4 linked regions of the Drosophila melanogaster genome follow. The gene in region 1 interacts genetically with each later gene. Each region holds a gene or a part of one and is shown in the gene's direction. Other genes may lie near its edges.

The links.
Region 2: of Rheb (region 1) and Sin1, changing one suppresses a phenotype caused by changing the other (phenotypic suppression), as found in Drosophila melanogaster (one study listed by BioGRID).
Region 3: of Rheb (region 1) and Tsc1, changing one suppresses a phenotype caused by changing the other (phenotypic suppression), as found in Drosophila melanogaster (2 studies listed by BioGRID).
Region 4: of Rheb (region 1) and unk, changing one suppresses a phenotype caused by changing the other (phenotypic suppression), as found in Drosophila melanogaster (one study listed by BioGRID).

Annotation. Positions count from the first base shown.
Region 1 is NT_033777.3:5,567,268-5,572,924, forward strand, and holds Rheb (Ras homolog enriched in brain), read left to right. Parts: upstream 1-1,653; 5' UTR 1,654-1,772; exon of another isoform or gene 1,773-1,938; 5' UTR 1,939-1,955; coding exon 1,956-2,004; intron 2,005-2,132; coding exon 2,133-2,204; intron 2,205-2,307; coding exon 2,308-2,515; intron 2,516-2,574; coding exon 2,575-2,704; intron 2,705-2,760; coding exon 2,761-2,850; 3' UTR 2,851-3,224; downstream 3,225-5,657. Other genes in the region: CG12746 (uncharacterized protein), read left to right, coding at 1-93; CG2931 (uncharacterized protein), read right to left, coding at 346-1,254. UniProt on the Drosophila melanogaster protein: Binds GTP and exhibits intrinsic GTPase activity. Activates the protein kinase activity of TORC1, and thereby plays a role in the regulation of apoptosis. Stimulates the phosphorylation of S6K through activation of TORC1 signaling.
Region 2 is NT_033778.4:14,409,158-14,415,409, forward strand, and holds Sin1 (SAPK-interacting protein 1), read left to right. Parts: upstream 1-2,667; 5' UTR 2,668-2,749; coding exon 2,750-4,459; 3' UTR 4,460-4,694; downstream 4,695-6,252. Other genes in the region: CG17385 (uncharacterized protein), read right to left, coding at 1,054-1,261, 1,568-2,127, 2,186-2,254. UniProt on the Drosophila melanogaster protein: Component of the target of rapamycin complex 2 (TORC2), which transduces signals from growth factors to pathways involved in proliferation, cytoskeletal organization and anabolic output.
Region 3 is NT_033777.3:24,128,706-24,137,087, forward strand, and holds Tsc1 (Tsc1), read left to right. Parts: upstream 1-1,601; 5' UTR 1,602-1,699; intron 1,700-1,790; 5' UTR 1,791-1,960; coding exon 1,961-2,054; intron 2,055-2,114; coding exon 2,115-2,371; intron 2,372-2,432; coding exon 2,433-4,743; intron 4,744-4,800; coding exon 4,801-4,958; intron 4,959-5,084; coding exon 5,085-5,214; intron 5,215-5,271; coding exon 5,272-5,624; 3' UTR 5,625-5,949; downstream 5,950-8,382. Other genes in the region: GatB (Glutamyl-tRNA amidotransferase, subunit B), read right to left, coding at 1-117, 187-611, 667-982, 1,047-1,160, 1,219-1,363, 1,417-1,478; Sec10 (secretory 10), read left to right, coding at 6,209-6,241, 6,302-7,206, 7,276-7,863, 7,922-8,111, 8,181-8,382.
Region 4 is NT_033777.3:23,150,951-23,160,769, reverse strand, and holds unk (unkempt), read left to right. Parts: upstream 1-2,907; 5' UTR 2,908-2,926; coding exon 2,927-2,991; intron 2,992-3,059; coding exon 3,060-3,269; intron 3,270-4,276; coding exon 4,277-4,696; intron 4,697-4,758; coding exon 4,759-4,961; intron 4,962-5,220; coding exon 5,221-5,330; intron 5,331-5,529; coding exon 5,530-5,638; intron 5,639-5,799; coding exon 5,800-5,925; intron 5,926-5,995; coding exon 5,996-6,576; intron 6,577-6,632; coding exon 6,633-6,830; 3' UTR 6,831-8,678; downstream 8,679-9,819. Other genes in the region: CG13829 (uncharacterized protein), read left to right, coding at 1-139; VhaAC39-2 (vacuolar H[+] ATPase AC39 subunit 2), read left to right, coding at 1,531-2,216, 2,284-2,650. UniProt on the Drosophila melanogaster protein: Essential for late larval/early pupal development.

The DNA of each region.
Region 1 (5,657 bases):
GACAATGGCAGTCGTGGTCCCCACCATCTCGATGGTGGGGATGCGGTGCGGAGACCTCTGCTCGCTGACAAGGAGGAGTCCAAATGGTACTAAAAGCTTTACGTAATATTATTGTGAGTGTTGCTTTCCCGTTTAAGGTTTTTAAACATATTAGACAATTTCTGATTTAAAAATGTGCTGCTGGTTTACCTCGTAATAGGATGGGTAGGGTTTGTTAATAAAAACTAAGCGCGTCAATTGCTAAACGTAAATTTATTGCTCATCTTTAGCAGCAACATCCAAATCTAATTTGCTACATCAAAGTGACCGAAACTAGCCTAAAGGACACGATATGCACACTCAGATTCAAGTCATGGAATTGAAGGCCTGCAGAAGCACCTGTTTTTCGCGCTCCTTTTTCTTAACTACGTCAAGACTGCGTTGTCGCCACGTGCTCTTGCGCAGTTTGATAGGCCGGCTGCCCACATAGCGGCCGTCCATCTCCTTCATGGCCCGTATAAAGTCGGCCGGTTCTCTGAAGCTCACGAAGCCAAATCCCTTGCTCTTGCCCGTGCGCTTGTCCCGCACCACACGGGCCCGCTGAAACGAGGGGAACTTGTTGAAGGTCCGGGTCAGGACCTCGTCGTTGACGTCGTTTCCCAAGTCACCACAAAAGATGCGGAAGTCATCGTCGGGCCAGTCAGCCAGCGAAGTATCCTCCCACACGGTGCCGCCAGCGATACGCACCGTCTTGCGGTCTTTCTTTTTCCGCTCTGTTGTCTGGAAGGATTGCAGCGCCGATGATGCGCGCGCTGCCTTAATGGCCTCCTCTGCAATGGGATTGGGTCCAGACTTTTCCGCCTTGAGCTTCTTCAGCTTCTGCGTTACGTCAAAAGAGACGGCGTTGATGTCGATGGAGGGCGCGGCGGCCACGGTGGGCACGTGCACAGACTGCCGGCACTGATAAAGTTTGGGGGCGCTGCTCAGGACTACGGGAGTGGCAGACATAGCCTTGGAAGAACCACCTCCACTGCCCGTAGGCACGAAGGTGGACATAAACGTGGGTGGAGGCGGCATCGGGGGCGGGGGTACGGTCAGACGCGATCCTCCATTGCCCTGGTGATGCTGCAGCTTGTGCTGCGAGTTTTGGTACGTATTGGCGGCTATGATCGGGCGCACCTGGTTGGGCACGAAGAGATTGCGGGCGGGGGGCTTCGAGATCTCCGCCTCGAAGCGTGAGAGCTCATCCTCGATGTTGCGACGCTTTGTACCCATTTGAAGTGGGGTTTTCTCTTTTAAAAAATCAAATCAAAGCAAGTTTTTACGAAAGTGCTGCAGAAAACTCGGAGTACTAAACAAATATCGATTTCGTTCCCAATCGATTGCACTATTTTTATTTTAAAGGCCTGTTTAGACATGTCCACAGAATCAGGCTCTATTTGCAATATATAACAAATAAAACAGTTATTTTAATATCATAAAACGAAGACATTTAATATGTTTTAACTATTTAAGAAAATAACTGCGACTTTTTACACTTGATTACGACAAGCACCTTTCCGAACGGGCCTTGATATTTTCTGCAATTGTTGACCGTTAAACTAGTAGACGATAGTGTAGTGTGACGGTTCCTCATTAGCTGGCAAATGCCTTATGTTAGTAGGCTAGGAGTGGTATTTCGGCTTCGTCGACACCAGCACTGATTCAACTTCAGAATTACTGTTTTCTTTTAGACGATCTGATAAATAATACTGGAATTAAAATCGCCGGAAAAGCTCTAGCTGTGATAGAAAGTATCCTCAGCAAGCAAAATAAACGCAGAAGCAATATTCCTCATACACACATTTAAAGAAGGAGCACGGGCATACCCACACAAGCGCACAAAAAGTCGAGGGGCGACAGCAAAAACAAAAGTGTGGAAAATCACAAAACCAATAAATTTCTCCATTTATTTCAAAGCACTGGGCCCCAGGAAAATGCCAACCAAGGAGCGCCACATAGCCATGATGGGCTACCGATCAGTGGGTGAGTTTTCCCAGAAAGTTCCGCCAGAAGCACTGACACTGTTGCTGCTGGCACTGGTAATTGCGTAGTATTTCGACAACAGCAAGAACTATGATCAATTGACCATAATAATTACGCTTCGCCCGCAGGCAAATCGTCGCTATGCATACAGTTCGTGGAGGGCCAGTTCGTGGACTCCTATGACCCCACCATTGAGAACAGTAAGTGTCACATCCCATTCCGTGCGGATTTCTTAGAAGCCAGGCTGACTCCATGCTTCGATAGCAGTAGCAATGCGTAATGATCGGTAATTCCCATTCGCAGCCTTCACCAAGATCGAGCGTGTAAAGTCGCAAGACTACATCGTAAAGCTCATCGACACGGCGGGCCAGGACGAGTACAGCATATTCCCGGTGCAGTACAGCATGGATTACCACGGCTACGTCCTGGTGTACTCGATAACCAGCCAAAAGTCTTTTGAGGTGGTGAAGATCATATACGAAAAACTGCTCGACGTAATGGGCAAGAAATAGTAGGCTTCTTCCCCGTGGGTTCCGCTTGAGAGCTAAGCTAATCTTTTTTGCCTTTCAGTGTACCTGTGGTGTTGGTCGGCAACAAGATCGATCTCCACCAGGAACGAACCGTTTCCACGGAGGAAGGCAAGAAGCTGGCCGAGTCCTGGCGAGCTGCATTTCTCGAAACGTCCGCCAAACAGAACGAGGCAAGTACCAAGACGAATCACACTAGCTGAATGCAACTAAGGTACTTCCTTCGCAGTCCGTGGGAGATATATTCCATCAGCTACTGATCCTCATCGAAAACGAGAACGGCAATCCCCAGGAGAAGAGCGGTTGTCTTGTATCGTAGGGCGGCTGAGTAGCTAAAACTACGGCCGAACTGTTGGAAATACGGCAAATCGCTATGGCAATACGAAAATCGATTATCTCTTATCTACACAGTTGGGTCAGCGTGCATGGCGGGGCCGTACCCTTTGTGCGCAGCAGGAAAATCTAAAAATCTAATAGACCTAGTATTCTTAAGACCACACAGCAAGTAACCAATATCAAGCGATCTGAATGCGTCCGCTAAACGCTGCCCAGCAGGTTTTGTGGTTCGCGTCTGGCGCAACACAACAGGTTTAAGTTAGTACGTTTTTTTTACAACAACAATTCAGTTACAAATTTCATATACAAATTCTGCAAACTTTTAGTTTCAATTTAAATATAATTTTTCAAAATACTATTCAAGATTGTATTTTAATGGTCAACATTTTCGATTGTGAAAAATATAGAGGTTGATTTACTAAAGTTACAAGTGCGTCGAGAAGACCTGCCAGTTGCAATTCCAAAAAGCTGGATTTACTTTATCTCGTCCCTATAACTGATTAAATAGGACCAATACCTTAATGATTTCTATAGATTCCCAACCGTTGTGAATTCTCTGGAGACCAAGGTTCAGCAAGTAAAAGAACTGGGAGGATCTCGGTATGGTTCTTAATAAGAGTAATTTCAAACCAAATTACTATTTGGATAAACTGAAAGACTCACCTGGCCACTCTAGCAATATCTGCATCTGTTAGCAAAAAAAGGGGTCTTTAAATTTTAATACCGCTATTTCTTATGTCACAATTGGTCGGACGAATTTGATTGAATTAAGATTTGGCTGGCTTAATATTTCTAAAGACTGATTATAGAAAAAAGACATAGAAATTATTTCGCATTAAACCGATTATGAATAAAAATATTTCTTGTCTTACTTATCTTAAATCTAAAATGCCGGCTAACAGAGCGTTGCGCGGACTAACAGTGCTGTTAACTGTCAGCTGCCATAACCCACCACGAAAATAGCAAATCCACCACAACGCGAGTTCCAATCGGACCGAGAGTTAAATGTTTTCCGATTTTCAAACAGCGAACTTGTGCGTGCGTTAAAATTAAACTCGTTCAGCATTTAAATCGTGTGAGATCTTTGCCTTTTAACGGTAATTTACCAAAGCGAGCGATTCGTATTAAATGTGAATGTTCCCCATGCAGAAGAAAGCGAGCTTGTTTTTCTTCTCTATTTTCTGTATTGCAATTGTTTTTTTGGCTGACTTTGGCTGGGTCTGTGTGTGTATACTTGTGCGCAATGCGTGGGTATTTTCTCAGTTTTTTGTTCTATTTTCAAATTTTATTGCTCTCGCATAATGGTATACATATGTACATCATTATGTTTGACCGTTATTTCGAATCTCCAACACCGCGAGTTTTTTGTGACGGCATTTCCCACTCACGATTTGTAAGCAATCTCTATACATTTGTATGTACATATGTATGTGGATAGGCATGTTTGTACAACTGCACTTACAACCCGCTAATCAGGTGCAATGCACATACATTCATCGATTCCGACTCGGAATCCCAATCGGAATCCGAATGGGTGGGTACTGGCTTTTCTTGTTGCTTCCTTTACGGGCCACAGCCTTTTATCGATTTAATAACAAACGAACGTCAGCGAGTCGTTGGACTCTGCAAAAACCGGCACTCGCACTTGGCGGCGATGTCTGGCCAGGATTAGAGATGGGAGCTTTCAGATGGCAACGGAATAGATGTTATTGACGTACTTACCAAAGCTTACATATGTATGTGCAGATATGTTTGATTTCCAGGTTCATTTAGCTGACTGGCGATAAGTGTTGCACGCGTATCAATATTCATACCCCCTGGTGGTGGTGGTGGATCTACAGAACCAGGCTATGCCCATCTGGGGGATGGGCCCATGGCTGATAAGATATGTCGCGATTTTATAGCGCCCATAAAAGCCGCAGCAAGCCCACAAAACAAGTGAAACCTGCCGATTGTGCTATCAGGGGATTAAACTCACAAAATGAAAAATCAGTCCATACTACATTGTAAATATCGTTGAAGCTCTTATTTGCAAATTAAAACACATTACTCCTTGGCTTTAAAGACACAATCTAAATGGAGTAACAAATTGAAATTATACTTATGTATTTTCCTTACCAACAACTCGCTAGTTTGATGACCTTAACTGACCGCAATTAATAGTATTTTTATTTATCATCAAGCTGGCCTGGGAGTCCCGTTAGAGTGCTTAATTGGCACAGCAAGTGCCAGTGAGGCAACTGCATTTTTCAAATTAAAGAGAACTAGCGACCCACAAAATTCGTACAGCGAATGAGCTTAGCACATTTTCCCCGCATTAATGCGGCTGCATTAATTGCATTATGTACCTGCGAGCCCACTTGTGTGCATTATGTATGTTTAAACACACTCCTTCCGCGTATTTACATATATGTGTGTACATACATACGTATGCATGTAGCCATGCTAAAAGATAGTCTAGATCTAGATCAGTGCAGCCAAGCAGATGGGGTTTTTGTGCTCGGATGTGCGCCGCCAAAAGGGGAAAGTGCTCACTTATCCAATCCCACTGCCGAGCTACCAGTCGCAATTGAACTAATGAAATGTAGCCATCCTCCAACACGTCATGCAGCCCGATAATCATTACCACAACTCAGTTTGCAGACACACACACTTGCGGTAGAAGCAGTAGTTTCTAAATCAAATTTAATATGCTGCAGCTAAAGTACATTCAGAAAAAATCTAGTTTGGACTTCGTTCGCTGTATAATTTTAGTTATTCGACCAAAATGAAAATTGAAACTGAAGCAAT
Region 2 (6,252 bases), on another chromosome or scaffold:
TCACATGACTGCTTAAACTTATGAGCTGAGATCAGGAGCAGGACATTTACCATAATAAATTTATAACAAATGACATTGGGCAGCTTAATAAATGTGAACCTATTAGTCCGAGGCCCCAAGCAGTGACCATTTAAGCAGCCGCATGCCAATTGAACCAGGCGCACACATGCACAGCCAGAAAATGTGGCAGGACGACGATGTGGACATGAAATATTATTTCCCTGTGCGAGCGGAAGTGTGAGTAGTCCGGGGAGTCAGATGTATAAATAGTTTGATTTAGTGCCGCAAAAACGATGACTGCGAAGGCCACAAGGACATGGTCAGAGCGAGCGGTGGATGCTGATAGCAAGGACTGTGCGATCAATTATTGCTCCATGACTGCTGGCGGGTAAACAAGTCAGGAACGTGCCTTTAATTAGTTTCAATCAAATAGTCGAGAAATCACATGTATAAATTATAGACCCATCGGGCGATTCCTTTACCTTTCTTCTTCGAACTTAACGAACAACAGTGAGTGGTAACGTGACTATTTGGGCAAACATATTTGTCACATTAATGACGCAAGAATGTTGGCCTGACAAGCTGGAAAAGGGACAGTTTTACGGCTGTGCGAAATGTGTCATTAAAGCGACAATTTACGCACTGTGAGGTTTTGGGACTTGCGAACGAGAGAATTGATGATGTGACTCGGGAAAATCCAGCGAATATCATACATATGCTCATAAAATGGCACATCATAAAGGGTGCAGTTAAAACGTCTTTAGGGTCCGTAAATCGACGGGTTAGCCTGATTCACGCAACAATGTCAACAGAGATCGGATCGATTAGCAACAGGGATAGCGAAGGATTCGCATTGGTTATCTGCATATTTATTGCATTTATTGGTGTAATTCAATGGAGAACTATGTTGGCCTGCATATATATTCATATCTGTATATTCAATGCAATATTCTTCACATTCCATCTTTCCGTCGGAATCGCCGCTATTTGTATGTTTAGGTGTGAGTTGGGTTGTGTGTTTTCGTGGTATTTCATTTAAAATTATTGCCATTTCTAATGTGTAGTCTCAATTATGATTTCGTGCGTATCCAGATCGGGCACGGCAAACTTCATGGGCAAATAGTCGTCTGGATGCATGTGGGACATCTGGTTAACCTCCAGCTGGGCCCTTTCGTGGTCCTCATGGCACTTGGCTTCGTGCTTCTCATAGTCAGCGAAGGTATCAAAGATGGCCCGACACACCATGCATTCGAAAAAGCTTCTGAAAATGAAATGTTTTAATTCAATAATAAAATTCACAACAAGCAAATGTAGAAGGATCAAGGATAGTTTTGAGGCTAGTCAATTAATATATAAAAGTATTGATTGGGAACGTGTACACCTTCAAAAATGCATATAGTATTAATTGTTCATAAAAGGGAAATGAGCACAGTTAAGCACACTAATCAGCACCGAATCTAATCATGACCCGTCGATAATCGGTGTCGAATAGGCAACTTAAGGTAGGTCTGAACAGGTTGAACTAATCAAAGGGCACCTTGATCTTCTACAGCCGGCAAGTACTCACGGTTTCTGCTCCGACTCAAGCCGTTCCCTGGCCAGGGCGGCAGCCGCCTGGATAGAGGCGGGCACGTCCACATCGACGCCCTCCTTTATGTGCGACTGCAAGTGGCGCTTAAAGTTTGACAGCTGGGTGAAGCCCTTCTCGCAGTAATTACACTGGTAGGGCTTGGCGTTGAGGTGGCCAAGCTTGTGTTTCTTGAGGTTAACCAGCTGGGAGAAGTACCTGCCGCATCGCTGGCAGCGGAACGGCTTCTCGCCAGTGTGTGTCATCTTGTGGCGCTTCATGTTGCTCTGCTGGGTGAAGGACTTGTTGCAGAAGTTACAGGTGAATGGCCGCTCCCCGCTGTGCACCGCATAGTGGCGCTGCAGGTTCACAGCCTGGGCGAAGGCCTTCGAGCAAATGTTACACACGAAAGGCCGCACATCGTTGTGCACCTTCATGTGACGATCCAGGTTCCCCGAATTGCAGAAGCTCTTCGCGCACAGCTTGCACTCGTAGGTGGTCTTGTTGTGGTTGTGCACCTCTTGTCGATGCAACGTCTGATCCCGCTTGCTTCTGAAGGTCTGCATCAATGGATAGTGGTTAGATTGAGGTAATAGGAGACATTTCCCACACACTTACTCGGTCGCAGCGCTTGCAGCTGAACTGATTGGCCACCGTCTCGTCGAATTCTACCTCCATGCCCGCCATTTCGCCGTTGGCTAGCACATCGACTCTATCCGATTGGGAGTTCTCAAGAAGTGGACATCGAAAAACGGCAGGTCAGGCGACGATAAACTCACTATAATTAACTTATTCTGTAACTCGGCAATTTTTCGCGTCCAGAAAAAAGTCATATGGTGGCCTAGAGTGACCGTTTGCGTTGAATGAAAAAAGACCAGATTTAACGAGTACCGCTACAACTAGACTTGCATGTAAATTCAAAATATTACTTTGATAATAAGTACTTGGTATAACCTTTATCTTAATTGCATAATTTAAGTATATTCATGTAGTAGGTATTCCTCTTATGTTCTGTTGGGAACGGTGACTTGTGCGTGCTATTCGTTACCACCACCAAAAAGTGACCAGTAACAACCGCAATGTTCCATCTCTAGATAATCCAAAGGCGTTAGTGCATTTTTCCGAGATGCTGAGATAAATAGAAATTAATTTTGAAAAAGAGATTTTCTTTTGTTTACTACCATGGCGACCTACTCCAACCAGCATTGGCTGCTCTCCCACATCCGCAACTCCTTCATATCCACGGACGACACCGGAATGTGCGAGACGGTGATGCTGAGCGATGACATGCCCAAACACTATTTGCGAAAATTCGGTAACTCGGGCGCTGGAGGAGATCACTATCATTGGCGACGGGCGCACAAGACACCGCCGACGGGGGGCGGGACAACACCGGAGCGGAACACCCGGCATCCGGATGCGCCACTCCAGGAAGTGGACTTCATCTGCTATCCGGGACTGGACCTCAGCGACGACGAGGAGGACATGTCCACGCACTCCTTTGACATCCAAATGTATCCGGAGGTGGGCGCCCACCGCTTTCGCTCCAACACTGCCCAAAAACTAGAGAAACTGGATATTGCCAAGCGAAGGGCGGCGCGCATCAAGAGTGTTAACTACCAGGAGGAAGTGCAGCCACCGGAGAGCGATGATTTCTTTAAACGCAAAGAGTTGCCCCTCAGCAAAGCTGAGCGAGTTAAAAATGAACCGAAAGCCAACGACGATGATCTGTCAGATGAGGGTGTTCAGAGCCAGCTCACTGAACAGTTGGCCAAAAGTCCAAAGCAAGCACAGAATCGCTTCATTGAATTCGCCCGCTTCGATGGCACCTCCCAAGTGGGTATGCAAACGAAACGGATAAACGTGTTTTTAAATATGCTTCCCGAGCCGGATCGCAACTACCCGTTGAAGATCTGCGTCGTAGCCACTGCCAAAATCCAGGAGGTAATTGGTTTTGTCTGCTACAGGACCTCCTTACAATATCCCGACGTTCCTTTGAAGTCCCTGCAGCATTACGCTTTGTATATGACAGAGGATAATGATGATATGGAAGACTTCCCACCGTTGGACAATCGCGAACCCTGCTCTAAGTTTGGCTTCTCCCAACTGACCCTCGCAGAGCGTCGGCCATTGGCTCCAGTGACGCGAGTTGATTACCACAGCCAGCTGGGCAGTAAATCCATGACTTCCGTGGAAGACAAGACAGCTCTGTCCGATGCGGCTGTCAAGGCTCTGCAAAATATTAGCCTAAATGGAGGAACTAGTGATCCGGGTGGAGGAGGTGGAGGAGGCGATAGTCCACACGATAATGTCAAGGAGTATGAGAAGCGATTGTTGAATCACAACGATATGCTGGAAGCACCCATGCATCGTACTTTCCGCCTCAACATCATCGACAAGAGGTTCTTCAAATCCGATGTGACTCTGGGAATATCTGGTGAGAGAATAGAGATCGATCAGTGCAAGAATGCCAAGTTCTGGCCGCAGAAGAAGCCCGTATCCACTCCCATTGACTTTGTTGCTCACTGCGAGATTTTGGAGCGACGCCACCTGAAGGCTCTGTTGCGCATCTGGCTGAAGTCAAACTCCTCGTCCCCTTCCTTCTCCACGGGCTGCACTTCGGCGCCGATCAACGCCAGCGTAACCACACTGAATGCGGGAAGCGGCAGTGGTGGGATTGCCCACTCGCCCAGCAGTCCGGGTCACTCTTCCGGACTCTTTTCAAGCAGCAATATTCGCTTTAAGCACTACGACTTCGATACGGACACCCACACGGCGGAGCAGATCCACAACAAGCTGAACTGCATACTAGAGATGCGATCCAGCGATCTGAGGCGCGAGTTCCTTTTGCAGCGCGATCGGAAGCAGGAGAAGAGGCAGCTGAAGTTGTAGTATTTATTCCTATGGCAGCGGCTGTCGCTCGTTTGCCTAGCAGGCGGGCAACTGTCACTGCCGCTGCAACGTCCCCGCCTACTTCTCCGCCTCCGCCTCCGCCTCCTGTTCGATAAGTTGTATTAGTTGCTAACTAAAGATTGTGTTACACATGTTTGCCTAGCCTGTAAGTATTTATTGAACTCACCCAACTACGAAGCCTGGTCCTGAAAATAAAATTGCAAAATTTACACTTAAAATCGGTAATCTCTACATTTTTGCTTCCGCCTTGCCGCTGGCGTTTACATTGCGGTTTTGAAGCGATTCACGCGCGATTTGGCCGCGTTTTTAGCAGTATATCTGGTTTTCATTTCCGTTTTTCTCACTCTACCCACTGCAATTGTCTGTAATCAATGTGCAATTAATCGCACAGACAACCAGACGGGGACGGATCCAACGGTTAGTCGTATTACTGCACATATTGTTTTCGGTCTGGCTGTTTATTTTTAGTTTTGCAATGCCAGCGATGACTGGGTTGGGCGCCTAGGTCGCCTGCTAACAGCTGTGGAGTAGTCGAGAATAATGGCTAACTGCCGTTAGACGATCGTTGCATGCATATGCATCTGCAGCGTCGGCTAACCAAGCGATTGCAGCAGCGCGTTCTAAGGCCAAGGTTAGTGACTCGAAATCACGCCAAAATGCGCGACATTTGAGGCCGTTCGTCTGATGGCGATGATGATGCTGTTGGCGTGACCAAATCGAGGCAAATGTCAGCTTTCGATTTATGTTCAAGTGAACAAAACATTGCAACTGACGCTGCAATTCCCCGAGGAAGTGGCTGAGGTGAGACCTAAATTCAGCATCACTCATACGCCGCATAGGCAGCAAAAAAAACAAAAAAAACAACAAAATACCTAACAAATCCGCGCGATCTAAAATTGCCGATAAAATAAAAGGAAAACGCCCATTTTCATGTTCGATATGACCAGTCTGTTTGGGGTTAAATGATTTATGCCTATCTGATTCAGCCTTGACAGAAACTTCGGCCCATTCTTTCGCAAGACAAATTTGAATATCGCAGTCAATTTGTCAAATGCAATGGTATTTATAGTACGAATTGAATTTATTATCGGCAAGTGCGTCGCCTTCGAATTGTTTGTTTTTTTTTTTTTACGCTACAGCTCACTGAATTTCACCGAAAGCAACATAGTTATCAGCTAATTTGCCTAAGCAAATTCAGCAGAGGCGGCTAATTTCGACAAGGATGCGACTGCGGCTAATTGAAAGGCAATAAATGCATTAAAAATAAAGCGGCAACAACCTTGACATTGAAATTGAATGACAAACAGTTTCACTCGATATGAAAGTTGCCAGGCATTATGCCATTTTATATACATACATGCCACATATAGTATGTACAATACATACATATATGCAGTGTGCAAAATGCCATTTGACAATTTCTGCAACCCCCTCGAAATGCGTTTCGCGTTTCGTTTTTCGTCTGCCAACTGCCAATTAAATTCTGTTTATGATGCTTAAGAACTTTATTTCCGCTCGATTAAGTCGTTATAATGGCAGGCTGGGATGCTATGCTCTTTTTTTCTGTTTAGTTAGTATAACTTTCCACAATTTTGAGCTGTTTTCATAATCGGCGGGGCCGAAAGTGGGACCGGCAGCGGTTCTGACAGCGTGGCAGTCGGCGGGGCAAGAAACTTGGCACGCATGTGAGCGGATTTTCACTGCGAACATAAAATGGAAAAAATGGAAAAACACAAAAGTGAGCGGACCTCGTTGTCAATTTATCAATTGCA
Region 3 (8,382 bases), about 19 Mb from region 1:
CAATTTGTTGCAATAGGTCAACAAATCGTTTATAAGAAAATTGCAAATGACTTTGTTGGGCAAATCACTTAAACTACGGGTAATGCTCAAGAAATGATCCAGCAGAATAGGTTCGTTCTGAAATAAAATCGAGGAGTGTTGCAATTTCAAATTTTTTGTTGACTCAAAAAGGATCAGAGCACGCACCACTAAAATGATGGCAGTTTCCGCATTCAGGTTGTGCTGCTCCACCAAACGTTGCCTGGTGTCCTCTGGTAATTCTGGAATTTCCTCGCTTAGAGCAGCCACTGAAAGTAAATCCTCTGTTGACATTGATCCAGGCTTTAGGTTTACATGAAGGGGTGGTAGATTCGGCTCCGGCATGAATCTGTAGTCCTGCAGCACCTCTTTGTCACGCATGGCCACTGTGCGCCGGTTCTCCGCATCCCAGTTGCGAGTCTCATTTGTAATTACACCGCCATTAGCCACAGTTTCTAGCTGTCTATTAATTTCATACGTAATTGCTTGCGAAATGCTTCGAACCGAGCCAATGTTTTTTACTTCGGTGCGGACTCCCAAGGGATCGCCTTCTTGGTGAATGGATATGTTGGCATCCACACGCAGGGCGCCCTCTACAATAAAAAATACTCGGTTTAAAAAAAGGCACACAAATCCCTTTTGACTCACCTTCCATTTTACAACTGCATGTCTGCAGACGCCTTAGTATCAGTATTAATTCCTTGACCAGCGATGCCGCTTCTTCGCCCGTTTCTAAATCTGGTGCAAAAACCAGCTCCATTAGAGGAAGTCCAGCACGATTAAGGTCAACCAGGCTCCTTTTGAGATAATCATCGTGCAGAGATTTACCACTATCCTGTTCCAATTGCAACTGCAGTAGTTTGGCGGTCTTGTAGTAAACTTTTTTGCCTGGTGTTATCACGGGGAAAGTCATTTTTCCATCATTGGCCAAAGCGGCGCGCTGCTGCGTGATTTGGTAGCCATTCTGGGGAGGAGAAGTTTATTACTTATAAGGCTTAGCGTGGTGTAAACTGAAATTTGAATCTTACAGGCAAATCTGCATAGAAGTAGTGCTTGCGGTCAAACATGGACACTTCGTTCACCCGACATCCCAAAGCAAGTGATGTCTTAATGCCGGATTCCACACATTTTCTGTTGAGAACCTAAAAGCAGAGGATACAATGTAATGATGGCGTCTTAAGTGAGAGTACCTATTCTCACTGGCAATGTTCCCGGTATGGAGGCATCAAAATACGCCACCGAAGAGTTAAGTGGTGCTCCAAAGGATGTGCCACTGCCGGAAAACAGTTTGGACGCACTGGCAATCTGTGCGTGCACCTCCAAACCCACAACGCTTTTCCATTTCCTGAAATTCAGAGCGTTGGAATGAATCCTTATAATATTAATTCACATAATTACCTTTTGGGAACGTTGGCTAGCTTTGGCGCCGTTACCAGTTTTCGGATTATTGAGTAATGCATTATTTTACATCGATTATAACATTCGCACCGGAATTGGCAAAAAGTTGCGCCAAAACAGCTGATGTTGTTTTGATTGCGGCCAAAGCTGCCGGACATTCGCCAGCGGCGTTGCCAGACAAAACCATCGATTGGCTGGCGATAACAGCGCAAGAGGAATATCACAAAAAAATAACCTTTTCATTTTCAAGACAAACATGTAAAAAAATATGAGTTTAGCAGAGGTAAGCATTTTAAATGTGCACTCCACAACCGAAACAATAGTGCAGTGCATCGAACGCAGTGGGAATTTCAATGCCAACCCTTGTTCTCCAGTTCACAGCGACCAAGACGAGAAAAAGCACACGCAGCTCTGCAAAAGACAACCACGACGACGAGTGAGTGGAGTAGAAGGACCAGGAGCGGAGTAGCAGGAGCAGGAACAGTCGACCGAGGGCGGGCGGAAAAATCAATCATAGCGACAGGAAACCAATAAAGCCGCCGTCATGGTGATTGAGAAGATCATTGGTGACCTGGAGTCCAACATGACGCTGGAGAACGAGGAGGCCAAGCGCAAGCTTGTGGAGTTGCTATCCCAGAGTGAGTCCTCGCCAGTTTCAGTTAATATGCCACCTATTCCAACATACCATTTCCCCACAGACAAGGAGCAGTGGGTGGTAAAGTTCATGCTGGACTACTTCTTTACAACTGGATCTCAGCGCATTTTGGAGGTACTGGTCAAAGCCCAGGCACCTCACGATGGGTACATCTTTGACAAGCTGGACGACTGCCTAAAGCAGTCGCAGCACCGAGTGCAGAGCCTCCAGGTGTTCTGCTTCATTGTGCGCCATCACCCTACTTGGCTGTACAAGATCGAGAAACACCGGCTGATCAAAAGTGTTTTTAAGCTTATGACGGTGAGTTTATGGGTGTTTACAATTTTGTCCGAGTTCAGCATCACTTCCATTTCTCTGACAGCACGAGAAGGAGATAGTTCCGCTGATGAGCGCCCTGTTGTGCATAATTACTCTGCTGCCGATCATACCGAATTCTGTGCCCAACTTTCTTAACGATCTGTTTGAGGTGTTCGGGCATTTGGCCTCGTGGAAGCTGCAGAATAGCAATAAACTGCCGGACGAGAAGCTCGTCCACCTGCAGTTGGGTCTACAGATGCTATTTCACCGCCTGTACGGCATGTATCCGTGCAGCTTTATTGCCTATTTAGTGGAGTTCATCAAGCGAGGCAACGGCGGGGGCATCTTCCAGCATACAATCAAGCCGCTGTTGAACACTGTGCGAGTGCATCCCATGCTGGTGACGGCCACGCCAGAGACTGAGGTAAACAATACGCGATGGAAGGAGATGGAGCCGCATGACGTGGTTATGGAGTGCGCCAACCTATCGCTGCCCGTCCTCTTGCCCGAGACGAGCAACGAAGACGGCAGCTATGCGTATCCCATGACGCCAGGATACAGTCGCATGACTTCAAATACCTCGAATACGGACTACAGCTATCAGCTGAGGGAGTTTCAGCAATCGAGAAATGTCTACACCCGCTTCGATTCGTTTGCCTCGGGTGATGATGTGGGTCCGATCTGGAGTCCGCATAACGAGATTGCCACGACCAGTAGCGGCATACCGCTTACACCCACCACATCGTTTATTTTGCCACTACAACCGGCTATGAACTCTCAGCTTATGGTTGGCATGACTGGCTCCTCACCGCCCGAAGCAGCTGTGGAGGCCACACCGGAAACCACCCCCTTAAAGGATATGAGGGATATCAAGCAGCCGGGACGTGCGGTCAATTCGCATGCTGTGAGAGCTATCTTCGCCGTAAGCCAGCCTTCTTCACCCATGCGCAAGGACCAGCAGAGTCAGTTCAGTTTCCCGGATGTCTCTCGCGAGGCGGAGGAGAGCAGCCACTCATATCTGGAGGTCAACAGAGGAACTGCCTATGACCGTCGCCTGTCGCAGGTCATCCAGGACAGGCATAACGTGGAGCGATCTGTAAACACACCTTGTCCAAGCAGCCTGCCAGAAATTAACTCCGATTTATCCCTTGTTGGTGGTTCCGTCTATCCATCTGTCACGCAGGAGGTCGCTGCAGTTTGTGGCGAGTGCAACGAGACGGATAGGAACCTCTGCAGTGTGGGTGGACTTCATATGCCCACCAGCCGATCCATGCACCAGCTGGCAAAGAAGCGCCGCAATCGTATGGCAAGCTACAGTGGAAATGGTTCCTGTGCGGACAGCAGAAGTTCGGCGGCAAAGAAGGCAAGTTGGAGTACTGAGGCAGAGAACCCAATGCGACGAACCAAATCCTGCTCGGCCCTTTCCGGAATGCGGCAGCAGCATCTGGAGGAGAATGATGACGAGGCCGATTGTTCGAGCCAAAGACAAAGAGGGGAGAATGGAAATACGCAAAAGACTGGCAGCCGCCTGCAGAGGAGCGGCCGGAACCTGGCCATTTCGGCGCCCAAGGATACGGCTAGAAGCTGCACCCATGCCTCCACCCAGACGGTGGAAGGACTGGACAGTGCTCCAGCGCAGTACGAGAATTGGCTTATTGAACTCCTGCTGGAGTGCAAGGAGCAAAGAATCGACTATGAAAGGAACCTTCTGTACCCGCAAGATATTCTAGACGAATACATTAAGCATGCGATCAAGGCCAATGAGTCCTTTGACGCCGAGCAGGGTCAACTGATGTGCCTACAGCTGGAATACGAAAGCTACCGTCGATCCATTCACGCAGAGCGCAATCGACGACTCATGGGGCGAAGCAGGGACAAGCGCAGCCTGGAAATGGAGCGGGATCGGTTAAGGGAGCAGCTTAAGAACTTCGATGCGAAGAACAAGGATCTGGCAAACAAAATGGATCAGGCCATTCGGTTGGCCAACGAGCGCCAGAACATCCACCAGGAGGAGCTGGGCGAAATGAGGGCTAAGTACCAGCACGAACTGGAGGAAAAGAAGTGCCTGCGGCAGGCAAACGATGACCTGCAGACGCGACTCACCAGCGAGTTGGCGCGCCACAAGGAGATGAACTATGAACTGGAGTCTCTGCGAGGTCAGGTCTTCAGTTTGGGAACCGAGCTTCAACACACCCAGCAGCAGGCGGACATTGGGCTGCAGTGCAAGCAGGAGCTGGCACGACTGGAGGCCGAGTTTATTATCATGGGTGAGGTGCAAGTGCGTTGCCGCGACCGTCTGGCTGAGATCGATAACTTCAGGGCCCGCGACGAGGAACTGCAGATGCTACAAGAGAGCAGCAACCTGGAACTGAAGGGTGCCTATTCATTGTTTATATGATACGGATGTTTAATCATTCAGTTTATTTATTAAGATCTGAGGCACAGCCTGGACGAGAAGACATCACAGCTGGAAAGCATGAAGCACAAGATCAGCGACCTGCAGGCCCAGCTAGCCAACAGCGAGAAGGCCATGACGGAGCAAAAGCGACTTCTAAGCACCGTCAAGGATGAGTACGAAGAAAAGTTTAAGGTAGGGCTGATATTTAAAATCGTATACTTATCTGAAATAGTTCGGACTTTTAAGAAATAGTCTGTGTTTACCAGTAACTTCATTTCAATTAAGAGTAATAAGCCTTAAAAATCGTCGTCCTTGCAGTCCGTGAACAAGAAGTATGACGTGCAAAAGAAGATAATTATGCAGATGGAGGAGAAGCTGATGATGATGATGCAGCAGCCGCAAGGAACAACAGGTCATAACACCTGTTCCCCGGACACGGACAGAACTGGTGAGTGCAAGAGCTGCTTCGCAGCTAAAGAATACTTACTATTGCATTCTCCCACAGACATAGCTTCATCCATTGAACGCAACTCACCGCTATCCACGTCGCTGGCCTCGAGCGAGAGCTTATCCGCCAGCCTACGCTCCACGGAGCTGAAGAACCTGCACCAGCTAGTGGACACGCCCACTATTCCGGATGTGCTGAACAGCATGGCCGGTGGCGCTCAGTTCGAGGACGAAGTGCGTCCGCCGGCCGTGGATCTGGCCTCCTCGGCAAGCACCGCCAGTGCCATCAACATCGTGCCGCACGCCTTGGACTTGCCGTCGACCTCCGGCGGCATCGGTCACACGCTCACCCACCCACATCCGCATCCGCACCTGCACCTGCAGCAACAGCAACAGGATCAACTGCAGTAGTAGCAGCAGACGCAGTTTGTAAAAACAAATAAGAACTAGCTTTCCTTCGCTAAACAAATGTCTATTGGGAAAACCCGCACAGAAAATTTACAAAAAAAAGTTATTGGTTCTTCATATTTTCATATTCAGTTCAAAACTGTAACTAAGGTTTAATAAATCGCTGACTCCACGCAATAATTATAAAGGTTATAAAAAATATTAATGTTTGAAATTTTAACTTGTTTAGCACATTGCAATTTGTTGTAAAAAAGTGGTTTTGATACGAGGCAATAAGTAAGACGCGCATTCATATTATAATAAACATTTGATTAAGATCAGCAAACATAAAAGCATTGTTTTATTTTATTTAATTGTAAACATACTATTTGTTATATAACAACCGCCAAACATTTAAATTTTAGCTAAGAGAGCAAACAAAAACGTAAACAAACCGAGCGACATTGCCAGCTGAAAGAAAGTGAGAAGTGTGGCAACCTTAAACGAAACAGCTGAGCGGAAGCAACAATAATATAGAAAGAAGAAGCAGAAAAGAAACGCCTATTAAATCAGATCATTTAAATACGAAAACTTAATAATACATTAAAATGCTATCCCAATACATGGAGGAGTTTGAACAGGTGGGCTCAAAGGTCACGTAGGCCCGATTATGGCTTATATTTATTAATCATAACCAACAGGAACCCTTTGAGGTGGGCGAGTTCATAGAGCGTCTGACTTGGCGCACCAACAATGAACTCCAGAACAGCGAGGACTTTCATCCTGTGGCCCTCCACGATACCTTCATCCAGACCATTAAGGACCTAAAGATCCTGCAGGAGAAGCAACAAAGCAAGTGCGAACGGCTAGAGGAGTCACTGCGCCAGGAGAAGGAGTCGCACGCCAAAAAGATTGCCAAGCTCCAAGAACGCCACCAAACGGCCATTGATGTGTTCGGCCAGCTGGACGAAAAAATCAATTCGGTGGCCGGCAAGATCATGCACCTGGGCGAACAGTTGGAGAATGTGAACACTCCACGCAGTCGTTCAGTGGAGGCCCAGAAGTTACTCAATTTTATGTCCGAGTTTTTAGCCGCTGGCCCTGTGATTGTCAACGATATTTTTGCGGATGCCGCAAGATTAAGTGAGGCCGCAGATGTGATACAAAAGCTCTACGCTATCTCGCAGGATCTGCCGCCCGGAAACTTTGCGGAATCCAAAAGAAAAATCGAAAAGAAATACGATGAAGTCGAGCGGCGGTTGATCGAAGAGTTTGCCACCGCCCAGAAGAGCGAGGACATCGAGCGCATGAAGACACTGGCCCAGATCTTGTCCCAGTTCAAGGGTTACACTCAGTGTGTAGACGCATACATCGAGCAGAGCCAAATGCAACCGTACAGTGGCAAAGACATATTTATAGGCATTGTACCGCTATGCAAGCATCACTACGAGATAATCCAGAAGGTGTTTGCCAATCCGCAGCAGGTTATGTCCAAGTTCATACTTAACATATATCAACTGAAGCTTCACCAGTACGCCATGACTAAGTTGGAGGACAAAAAAGACGAGGAGAAATATCTTCGCACCCTTTATGAGTTATACTCGCGGTGAGTCATTCAGAAGTTACGTTAAATGTCAAAATTTGCGATTACTTTCATTTCACAACCACTTTGCAGCACACTAAAATTGTCAACAGATCTTCAAATCTACATGTCCACGATCGACGACGACTTGTTACAGAAGCTGACACAGCAGATTTTTATAAAGCATTTGGCCGGCTACGCCGAAATGGAGACCAAATGCCTCACAGCCAAGTGTTCCACAGAGCTGGAAAAGTTCTATGCCAGCAAGAAACACCAAAAGACTGCAACTACTAAGGGCTTTCGGAGAAACATGGAGGTGCTGATAGCCACGCGGGCTAACATAAATATTGCTGCCATCGAGGACTATGGCGGGGAGACGTTCCTATCCGAAGAGTTGGCCATCAACATGCTGCAGGAGGCCAAGGCGTCGCTTAAGCGCTGTCGCCTGCTGTCCAACGAGACCGAACTACCAGGCAATGCTATAAAGCTAAACGATATCCTTCTTCGTTTCTTGATGCACGAGCACGTAGATTACGCACTGGAGTTGGGACTGCAAGCAGTGCCACTGGCCGAGGGCAGGGTCTTTCCCCAGCTCTACTTCTTTGATGTGGTGCAAAAGACGAACATCATTGTCCATCTACTGGACAAGCTGTGCCACACATCTGTCATACCCTGTGTGAGGTATGTTAGGACTTTGTTAATTTACATTTTATAGAATGTATAATGTATTCTTTTCTAGTAATACACCCAAGTACTCGGACTATGTGTTCAAAAAACGTATTCTGATGGAGCAAATCGAGACAAAGCTGGACCAGGGTCTTGATCGCTCTATTAGCGCTGTTATTGGCTGGGTCAAGGTATATTTGCAATATGAACAAAAGAAAACGGACTACAAGCCGGAAACAGATGTGGATACAATATCTTCAGCGGTAAGATATAAATTTAGTAAAATCGAGCTTATCTGTCTATCCTTAAAAATGTTTATTTTTCTTTTCTAGGCCTGCTTACAAGTCGTTCAGAATCTGCAGCCCGTGATTGTGCAGATTAAAAAATGTGTTGATGGAGAGAATTTGCAGAATGTTCTTACAGAATTTGGAACTCGGTTGCACCGAGTAATCTACGATCACCTGCAGACCATGCAGTTCAACACGGCTGGCGCCATGTGTGCCATCTGCGACGTGAACGAGTATCGCAAGTGCA
Region 4 (9,819 bases), about 18 Mb from region 1:
GAGCTATGCCCATATCAATGCCGATATTATTTCGACCATTTGCACCGTAGTTGCAGTTCATGCAGCAGTTGGCTTTTACATCTACCGAGCCATCTATGCAAAGAGTGTGACGGCCAAAAGCGCCAAAATATCTCTGTAAAATAATTGTATCTCCACCTTTCGACTATCTTTGATATGCCAATACATCACAATACTTTCTTCTGTATATATCTTGAACACTTCCTGCTTTCATCATGTGGCTGACATATTTTTCGTGAAAATTGTATTCGTATTCGCCAATGCGAAAAAATGCTACCCACGCGATGATTTCTGTTTTGGTTGAAAGCAATATGAGTTGGAAGCGCATTTCAGCCGTCACTTGTCCATCCCGCGATTGGGACTTCTTGACGGCCACATGTCCAGGGATTTGTGTTTGTGGGACAAAGAACGAATGCAGCCTAAGTTTTTTCCGCATGGAAAGTTTACGGTAGTGACATGGCCAATGCCAACTTTAAACTGCACAACGTGATCTTATTTATTGCCCATATCGACCGATTTTTGTCAGCTGCCATGACTTTGTCTAAATATCTTTAAAGTCTTTGACGACATGGAAAGGCAACAGGTGAAACTCGTGATTTAAGTACAATACTTACCATTTTTTTTTTTTTTTTGAGCACATTCACAACTCCAGAAGGCAGAATTTCTTTGGTGACAGTTCCATTTTTCATCTGCCAGTAGGAATTAGTTCATTTTGATGTTAATGCAACGTGAGAAGGTGACACCCTCTTGTGATGGGCAATTAAATGCTTCGGTAGCAATAATAAATGTCGTTTTATTGCCACATTTATGCGATGCACACGCGGCGACACTAACAAGGCAAAGAAATATCAAAAACAAAGGCCGGGCGAGAAATTCACATGTTTATTTGTTCTAGTTGAATGAACGTGTAACAACTTGCAGTTAGTATGCTATTGGCCCGAGCGCAGCTAGTTGACTGAGTAAACAAACAGAGTTGGCAGCAAGTAAACAAATGGCCCAGAGCAACAGGTAATTTCCGTACAGCATCCTCCAGGCGCATGTGCGGAAATTGCGTTAGAATGGGCCGATAAATAGCTATCTGAAATTCAAATAGCAAGCTTTAACTAGGTGCATTTTCTTATAACTAAAATAATCTAGTTGGATGCACTTTAAAACGAACAAACCAAACAAATAATATCTTTTCAAATTTAAAGTTAAAATTTAAAAAACCGTTAGAGCGCTGCCATATTGTCAAAAAGGATAAACGAATGGCAGCCTTGCACCATCGGTAGCGCCATCTAGCGTGCATCGGTAGATACCGCCACCGAATATTTAAATATTATATATAAATATATTTGTAGCTTAATAAATATTATTTTAGCATCTAGAATCCTTAGTATTTATATCAGAATCAGTTCATCCGAGAAATACCTATCACCGCATGTTCCATCTATCAATTTCTGCTTTCACTTAAAAGTTGCCTGGCGTGTGAATTCCTACTAATAGATAGCTCGAAAATAATAATAAGTCAAAATGTCGATGATATTCAACACGGAGTATGGCTACCTGGAGGCCCTAACGCGCGGATTCAAGAACGGCATGCTAAAGCACTCGGACTATCTAAATCTGACCCAGTGTGAATCCCTCGAGGACGTAATGATCAGCATCCAGGGCACGGATTACGGTCTCATCTTTGGTGGCGAACAATCAGCGCCGTCCGTTGAGGTGATCGAAAGATGCCTTAGGGATCGTCTGCTGCAGCAATACTACTACATACGCAGTCATTCGACGGAGCCGCTGACCACCTTTATGGAGTTCATACGATATCCGTTCATGATCGATAATGTGGCGCTTCTGGTCGCTGGCCTAAACAATCACCGATCCATGAAGCGTCTGCTAAGAATGTGTCATCCGCTGGGCGAATTCGATCAACTGGGCGCCATCGAAGTGGCCTCGAATTCTGCGGAGCTCTTCGACGCCGTTCTAATTGACACGCCCATCGCTCGGTTTGTGCCACGCGATTTGCCCATGGAGTCGTTGCGTTACCTCGACGTGGAGATTGTGCGTGCCCATCTGTATCGTGCTTATTTGGAGAAATTCTACGCCTATTGCAGCCAACTGGGCGGCAATACCGCCAACGTGATGACCAATCTATTGTCCTTCGAGGCGGATCGTCGGACCATTACAATAGCTGTGAACGCTATTGGCAGTGATATCATGTAAGATATCTGTGTTGCTATGAAATTCTTCATATTATACTCATAATGCCCACCTTCCAACACTCAGACCGAAGGAGCGTCTAAAGATGTTCCCCACCTGTGGCTACCTGCCCAAAATAGCCTTGGCCTCCATGTCCACTTTAAATGATACGGATAAAATAAGGGATGTTTGCAATGTGTTCGATGGCTATGGCAAAATGTTTGACAATTTGGAGCGCGACTCGGACGGCATGATTACGCTGGAGGACCGCTTTCTCATGATGGAGGCCAAGAAGAATGTGCAGACCTTCCTGCAGCAGTACCATTTCGGGATCTTCTACTCGTTCATTAAACTTAAACAGTTGGAGGTACGCAATATCGTCTGGATTAGCGAATGCATAGCGCAGCGACAGACGGACAGAATCAACGCCTTCATTCCCATACCCTTGGACTAGAAACGCTTTTGCTTTCCTTCTTCGAAATGTTTTCCCTTTGAAATGTGTGTTATAATATATAGGCGTTGTTATAAATAAAACACATGCATAACAATTTCGCATTAATTTTGGCGCCAAATTTGTTTCGTTTGCGTCCCGGCTAACCACCCATCAACTGGGGTGTGTGTATTTGCTAACCAATCGATATGGACGATGCCGACAAAAATTATCGATATCAATCGACTTAAGGCCATGGATGCCCGACGCACCGATGTTTTTTGCACATCACTAACAACGATGTTGGCAAATGAAACGAACAAGCTGCTGCTTTCCTCGCAGCAGGAAAAACCAAATCACTACACGTAAATAGATGCTAACTAATGCAAACGATGGTTAATTTGACGTGCAACCTTTCCGCCAACCGTTTCAGCTACCTGAAGGAGTTCCGCGTGGAGCAGTGCCAGTCGTTTTTACAGCACAAGTGCAACCAGCATCGCCCCTTCGTCTGTTTCAATTGGCATTTTCAAAACCAGCGTCGGCGTCGTCCAGTGCGAAAACGCGATGGCACCTTCAACTACAGTGCGGATAACTATTGCACCAAATACGACGAGACCACTGGGATTTGTCCCGAGGGCGACGAGTGAGTAGAAATGTTGTGAAATTCATAGTTTCTGATGGCCCGTGAAAACGCTGGACGGGACGATTGCAGTGGCGGAGGATGGATGAGACAGCAATAGCGAACGACGTTGTATTTTTTTTGTTTCCTCTTTGCGCTCTCCTTCCTTCGCGATGTGTGTGTATCTCTTGTCTTCGTGTTTACAAACAAAAACCATAGTGTGTTTGTGTGCAGGGGGGTGTGGTGGGGGCGGTGGCAGGGGCCTGGCGTTGTCTGGAAAGCCAAAAGTGAAATTGTAAGTGCGTATGTGGGCGTGCTGCTTGCTGTATCTCTGTGCATGTGTATGTGTGTGCAGGCGAGGTCACCACCGTGCAAAAGTGAAAGTGATTCCAGCTCTAGTGGGCTAGCAAATTCTTATCAGCATCCGTTTTGTGGTGGTTGTTGCTCTCTTGTCGCATGTATACATGCACAGACGCTCGCATACACACAGGTACGCACAAACAAACACACGCACAGACGTAGGGCATCGCTACAAGTGTGTGCGTCATTGTTTTTATTGCGTTTCGCTTTTGCGTGTTTTCTTCTTCGTTTATTTTGATTTTCCCCCGGCAGCTTCGAAATGTACAGTTATTGTGGCTGGCGAGCTTTGGAGAAAAGCTCTGTGAAGTGTAAGAACGGGCTAAAAGTAAAACGCAATTACGCTTTGCGAGAGACAACAACAATGTCTGTTTTTATGACCCAGACTCGAGGTCCAACCTCTGACCCCGACCTCCATTCTATCCATTTATCGTTGTAGTCTCCTTACAGGGTACGAAGGTGGAAAGAAAGCGGTTTTAGTTTTGAAAGAGAAATTTCTTTTACTTATTAAAGAAATACCCTCAAACATGTATTAAAATGATGATTTTGCTGTAAATGTACAACTTTGTTGTTTTTTGTTACGGTTCTTTTTAATTAATGGGTATCATACAGTCCATTCACTTAGCCTCGTCGCCTGCTTTGACGTCACTAAAACTCCCTTTCTCCCCATTTAGATGCCCCTACTTACACCGCACTGCTGGCGACACCGAAAGGCGATACCATCTGCGCTACTACAAGACATGCATGTGCGTCCACGACACCGACAGCCGAGGATACTGCGTCAAGAATGGACTACACTGCGCCTTCGCCCACGGCATGCAGGACCAGCGCCCACCGGTTTATGACATCAAAGAGCTGGAGACCCTGCAGAACGCAGAGAGCACACTGGACAGCACTAATGCTTTGAATGCCCTGGACAAGGAGCGCAATTTGATGAACGAGGATCCCAAGTGGCAGGACACCAACTACGTGCTGGCCAATTACAAGACAGAGCCCTGCAAGCGCCCACCGCGCCTGTGCCGCCAAGGATACGCTTGTCCACAGTACCACAATAGCAAGGACAAACGTCGCTCGCCCAGAAAATACAAGTACAGGTAAGATTTCCCCTGAATTCATCCTAAAGTCAGTTTTAAACCGCGATATACCATTGTTTTAGGTCCACTCCTTGCCCCAATGTCAAGCACGGCGAGGAATGGGGAGAACCGGGCAACTGCGAGGCCGGCGATAACTGCCAGTACTGCCACACACGCACCGAGCAGCAGTTCCACCCGGAGATCTACAAGTCGACCAAGTGCAACGATGTCCAGCAGGCCGGATACTGTCCGCGCAGCGTCTTCTGCGCCTTTGCCCATGTGGAACGTAAGTATAGAGGATTCGATGAGCTAATATATAGGACTCAGCGTTGTGCTCCACAACCAGTTGTTGTAGGGATGTGTTTAGGGCCAAGTTATGATATTACAGTTCTAACTTAATGTTTGTCTTTTACTCGCCTCATCCATCAAACCGCAAATCTGTTTCCAACTATCACTCAAATCCTTTGAAAACACGTACATCAATCAATGTTTGCTTTGCCGCTCGGTGTTGCTTGTCCATGTAACTACTCCCAATCCAAATAAAGCATGTTCAATTGACGAGAAGACGCGGGATCACACGGTATACCTAAACGAGCTTATTTCCAATGCCTATCCTGATTTAAAAGCTCAGGATGCGTTTCAAAGGGTCGATAATGTACGTATTACCGAAGCAATAACACTCATCCAAATAACGCCATCGATTTGCATCGCCTAAACCTAAACGTACTACCACACATCGTTTGCCGCTCTAATCCAGCTAACCATCATCAACTAACTGCTTAACACTTTCGATAAGCCATTTAATCATGTGTCCTGCTCTCCTCGATTTTTTTCTTTTCGTTTTGTTCTCTTAGTTGTTGAACATTGATGGTAATAGCACCAATAAAATGTTGGTAGACGCTTTGGAAAACACAACAAATTTCAGCAAATTTTTAAGTTTCTCACGACCCCTGGACAGTCGTTGTGAGTATCCCAGAGTCCTGACATGCGTACGTCTAAGTTATACACTAGAAATCAGTTCTTCGTTTTGGTTGTGGACAAAGAATGTCAGCGCTTAGATAGCAAATGTCGTGACCCCTAGCCTAACTGAAATTCAATAATTTTTTGTCTTCACTCTTTGCAAGCAGCTTGCTCAATGGACGATCCGCGCGAGAACTCATTGTCGGCGAGTCTGGCCAATACTAGCTTATTAACACGTTCCTCGGCGCCAATTAACATTCCTAATACGACTCTAAGTAACTCAATTAACGGTAAGTAGTCATCAACGTCCTATGAGTGCCAACTAATTGCTAATGCTAATACTCCATTCCATTTGCACAGATTTTAACTCAGGTAGCTTTGCCGTCAACATTCCCAGCAGCTCGCTCACCTACAGTCCCACCAACCATGCCAATCTCTTCAACGTGGACGCCTTCAACTATGGCGGCTCAAACAAACTCAGCAATTCCCTTTCGGCCACCCAGAACGATAGCAGTCTCTTCTTTCCGTCGCGCATCATATCGCCTGGCTTTGGCGATGGCTTGTCGATTAGTCCTTCGGTAAGGATATCCGAATTGAATACCATACGCGACGACATCAACAGCAGCTCGGTGGGAAATAGTCTGTTCGAGAACACTCTCAATACGGCCAAGAATGCGTTTAGCCTTCAATCTCTGCAGTCGCAAAACAACAGCGACTTGGGTCGCATCACCAATGAGCTGCTCACGAAGAATGCTCAAATTCACAAGTTGAACGGACGTTTCGAGGACATGGCATGCAAGCTAAAGATCGCGGAGCTCCATCGGGACAAGGCCAAGCAGGAGGCGCAGGAGTGGAAGGAGCGCTATGACCTAGCACAGATACAGCTAAATTTGCCAGCAGAGCTTCGGGACTTGTCCATACAGAAATTGAAGCAATTGCAGGTTAGTCGCTTAATTAATTTCCCAATTCCATGGGTTTTAACCTGCTACCATTTTAGTCCAAGCTGCGCACCGACTTGGAGGAGGTCGACAAAGTATTATATTTAGAAAATGCCAAGAAGTGCATGAAGTGCGAGGAGAACAATCGCACGGTTACTCTGGAGCCGTGCAACCACCTGTCTATTTGCAATACATGCGCTGAATCGGTCACCGAGTGTCCCTACTGTCAGGTGCCGGTAATAACCACCCACACCTAGAACATGTTTTATCAGCAACAGGACCACAAGTGGCCCTTTGGCTGAAAATCGGATAGGGATGGGAAAGGGGATTCCGATGGGATATGAATGGATCATGGGGATCAAGACCGCGAACAGCATGACAATGTGGTACTCACAAAGCAAACTTTAGTCTTAAGCAAAACGTTGAAACTTTTGAACAGTTAGGATTTGACACATGCCTACTAATTGTGCATGTGGCAGGGAATATATAATTTATGTTTTCAATCTACTCAAAATATGCAAATTATCGTCATGAATATTAGTAATTACTAGGCACAAACTATTAATTGAATTAGCTAGCTGCTCTAAACGAATAAGTATGTAATTTTATTTTTGTTTATTTTTTCTCATATCGAATCGAATACAGGAAAAAACATTTTAAATTGATTTTGTACTATGATTTATGTAACCAACTCTTTTAATTTTGTTTAATATTCAATGTTTAGGCATACATATTTTCTAATCTACTGCACGAATTTGCAATGTCTCATTTATTTTTTTTTTAACCACATATGTATCTCTATATTTGTATTTAAATATGCTACACTTTCAGTCATATTGTACTTTTCACTAGTATTACATAAGAAATTATGAGAACTAAACAATTACAAGATGTAATTGAATGAAAGATATATAAATATATAATATATTAATTTTTCTAGACACTTTTAGCAATTGACTATTAACAAATTTATAGAAACCAACAAATTTAACAATATATTGTCGCATAGAAGAGCAGAAAACAACCACAAACAAACAAATACCACCAGTGATTTTATATAAGCCGATTTTCAAACTGTATTTTTTATGTATGTGTTTCAAACTTGTGAATGCAAACTACAACTAAAAGCCAAGACAATGGTCATAAAATCAATGTAACTGACGGGTAATCAATATTAGTCAGTACTCAGCTTTTATTTTCCTTTTTCAAATGCACAAAAGTAATTATAGACGTTGAAACGAGAAGTAACTAAAGGCGACAACGCTTTTCCTTATCGAAAGTTCATTTCATTTTGTCTTATTGAAAACCAAGTTGAATGTATTAAAACACTTTGATTTTTGTTTAGGCCTTGGTGCAGCTCGTGTAAGCCAATGCCAATTAACCAGTCACAAAATTATCAACTTACGTATATAATCTATTAGGTTACTTTGTGATTTGAATAGTGCTTTAAGTACTTACTTTGCAGATGACTTCAATTTTCATTTTACTTTCATAGTCTCAACTGGACGCTTCCAAATTAGTAAAAGCATAAAATGAATCGTCAATGTCAAAACGTAGTATTTAAGTCATATTAAATCCAGCATTTGGCTGATTGTACAAGAACGAATATGAACAGATATATATTTATGGGAAATTTGAACGCAGATTCGATGAGTGTGATGTTGAAAGCATAAACAATAAAAGTAACTCGATACAGCGAAATGAACAGAGTTTAATGAAAATGTTAACCAGAGTTAATGTAAAACCGTCTTCAAAAACCATTGTATTTTTCTGCGAATTAAAATTATCAAACGTAATCAATTGGACAATGTTGAATGAAACTGAAACGTGTTGTTAGCTAGTTGAGTTGAATTGATAAAGATGTAATCAAAATGAAACTGTTCTGGGAATGAATTGAATATGAATATGAAATCAACATAGGCATTTATTTGAAACAAAAGCAACACTATGAATATATATATACAAATGAAAAACTGAATTATATTATTACAAAGCTAACTAGGAAAGGCAGCGCAAAGGCTCTTATCTCTGTGTGTGTTTGTACTATGTTTTGTAGAAGCCAAATCAGCAAGAAATACAAATAATTAATAAATATAACAATAAACAATTGTGTGTTAACTTATAAATGCTTTAATAGTTTATGATACAAGTGTACACAAAAAAACTAAAAATCACGAGAACAAACAATGAGAAAATTGGTTTTATAATGGAGCTGTTGAGTCGCAAATCTATTGTGTGTATTACCAAACTAAACTGAAAACTGAATGCATACCTCTCTCAGAATATCACTGACTCTCATCACCGGAGACACAGTTTGAAAGATTTGCTAATTTACTTTATGAATCTCCACGAGATGTACATGGGATGTCTATCGAACTACGCGTTTTTTCAACCCCATTCCAAAACAAACCAATGCAAAGCAATTTTACAACATGTCAAGAAATCCATTTCACGCCATCTCAACTGTGAAGAATCAAACAGAAACCAGATCGAAAAGTATATGTACGTTACATACATATATATTTATAGATGACACATGTATTTTGTATACGCTACTGTAAGAGTGATTTTTATGTGATTTTGAAACTACTTGAATATGTGATCCAGAAATATATAAAAAACAAAAAAAGAACAAAAAAAAAAACGCAAAATAATATTTATATATATAAACGCAAGCTAGCGACAGCAAACAGCAATATAACAAATCAAATTGTAAACCAACTTGACTTTATGTACAACAACAACAATGACGACAAAAAATATAAAATATGTTGTACAGCTCCAGCTCCATTTAGAAAACAAAAGGCAAGAGAAGTAGGATTTTGGTAGTGGAAGAGATATGGACACACGTAGCATACTTAACAAATTGTCAAAAACAAAAAACAAAAAAACACGTAGACCAGAACAACATCAAAATCTTAAGGATACAAAAAAGAACAAGTAAATAAATGTCTAAATTATCAAATTGAATTATTAGCTAGCTTATAGGGTTCTCAGTTAAAAATTTACCAGAGGAAATACAAACGAGTAACAAAAGCAAAGGCAATTACTTCTCTAGATCTAGAACTAAGAACAAATGTTTGCTACCAATTGTTTCAACTAGTTAATTCATAATAAATTAACAAATTGTAGAAAACTGTAACTGAAGGTTTAACAAGCATAGCGTAAAAAAAAAAACAAAACATGACAACTCTGAACACCGAACAGGAATTTTAAATATGAAATCGCGGAGACCGAGCAATTTGC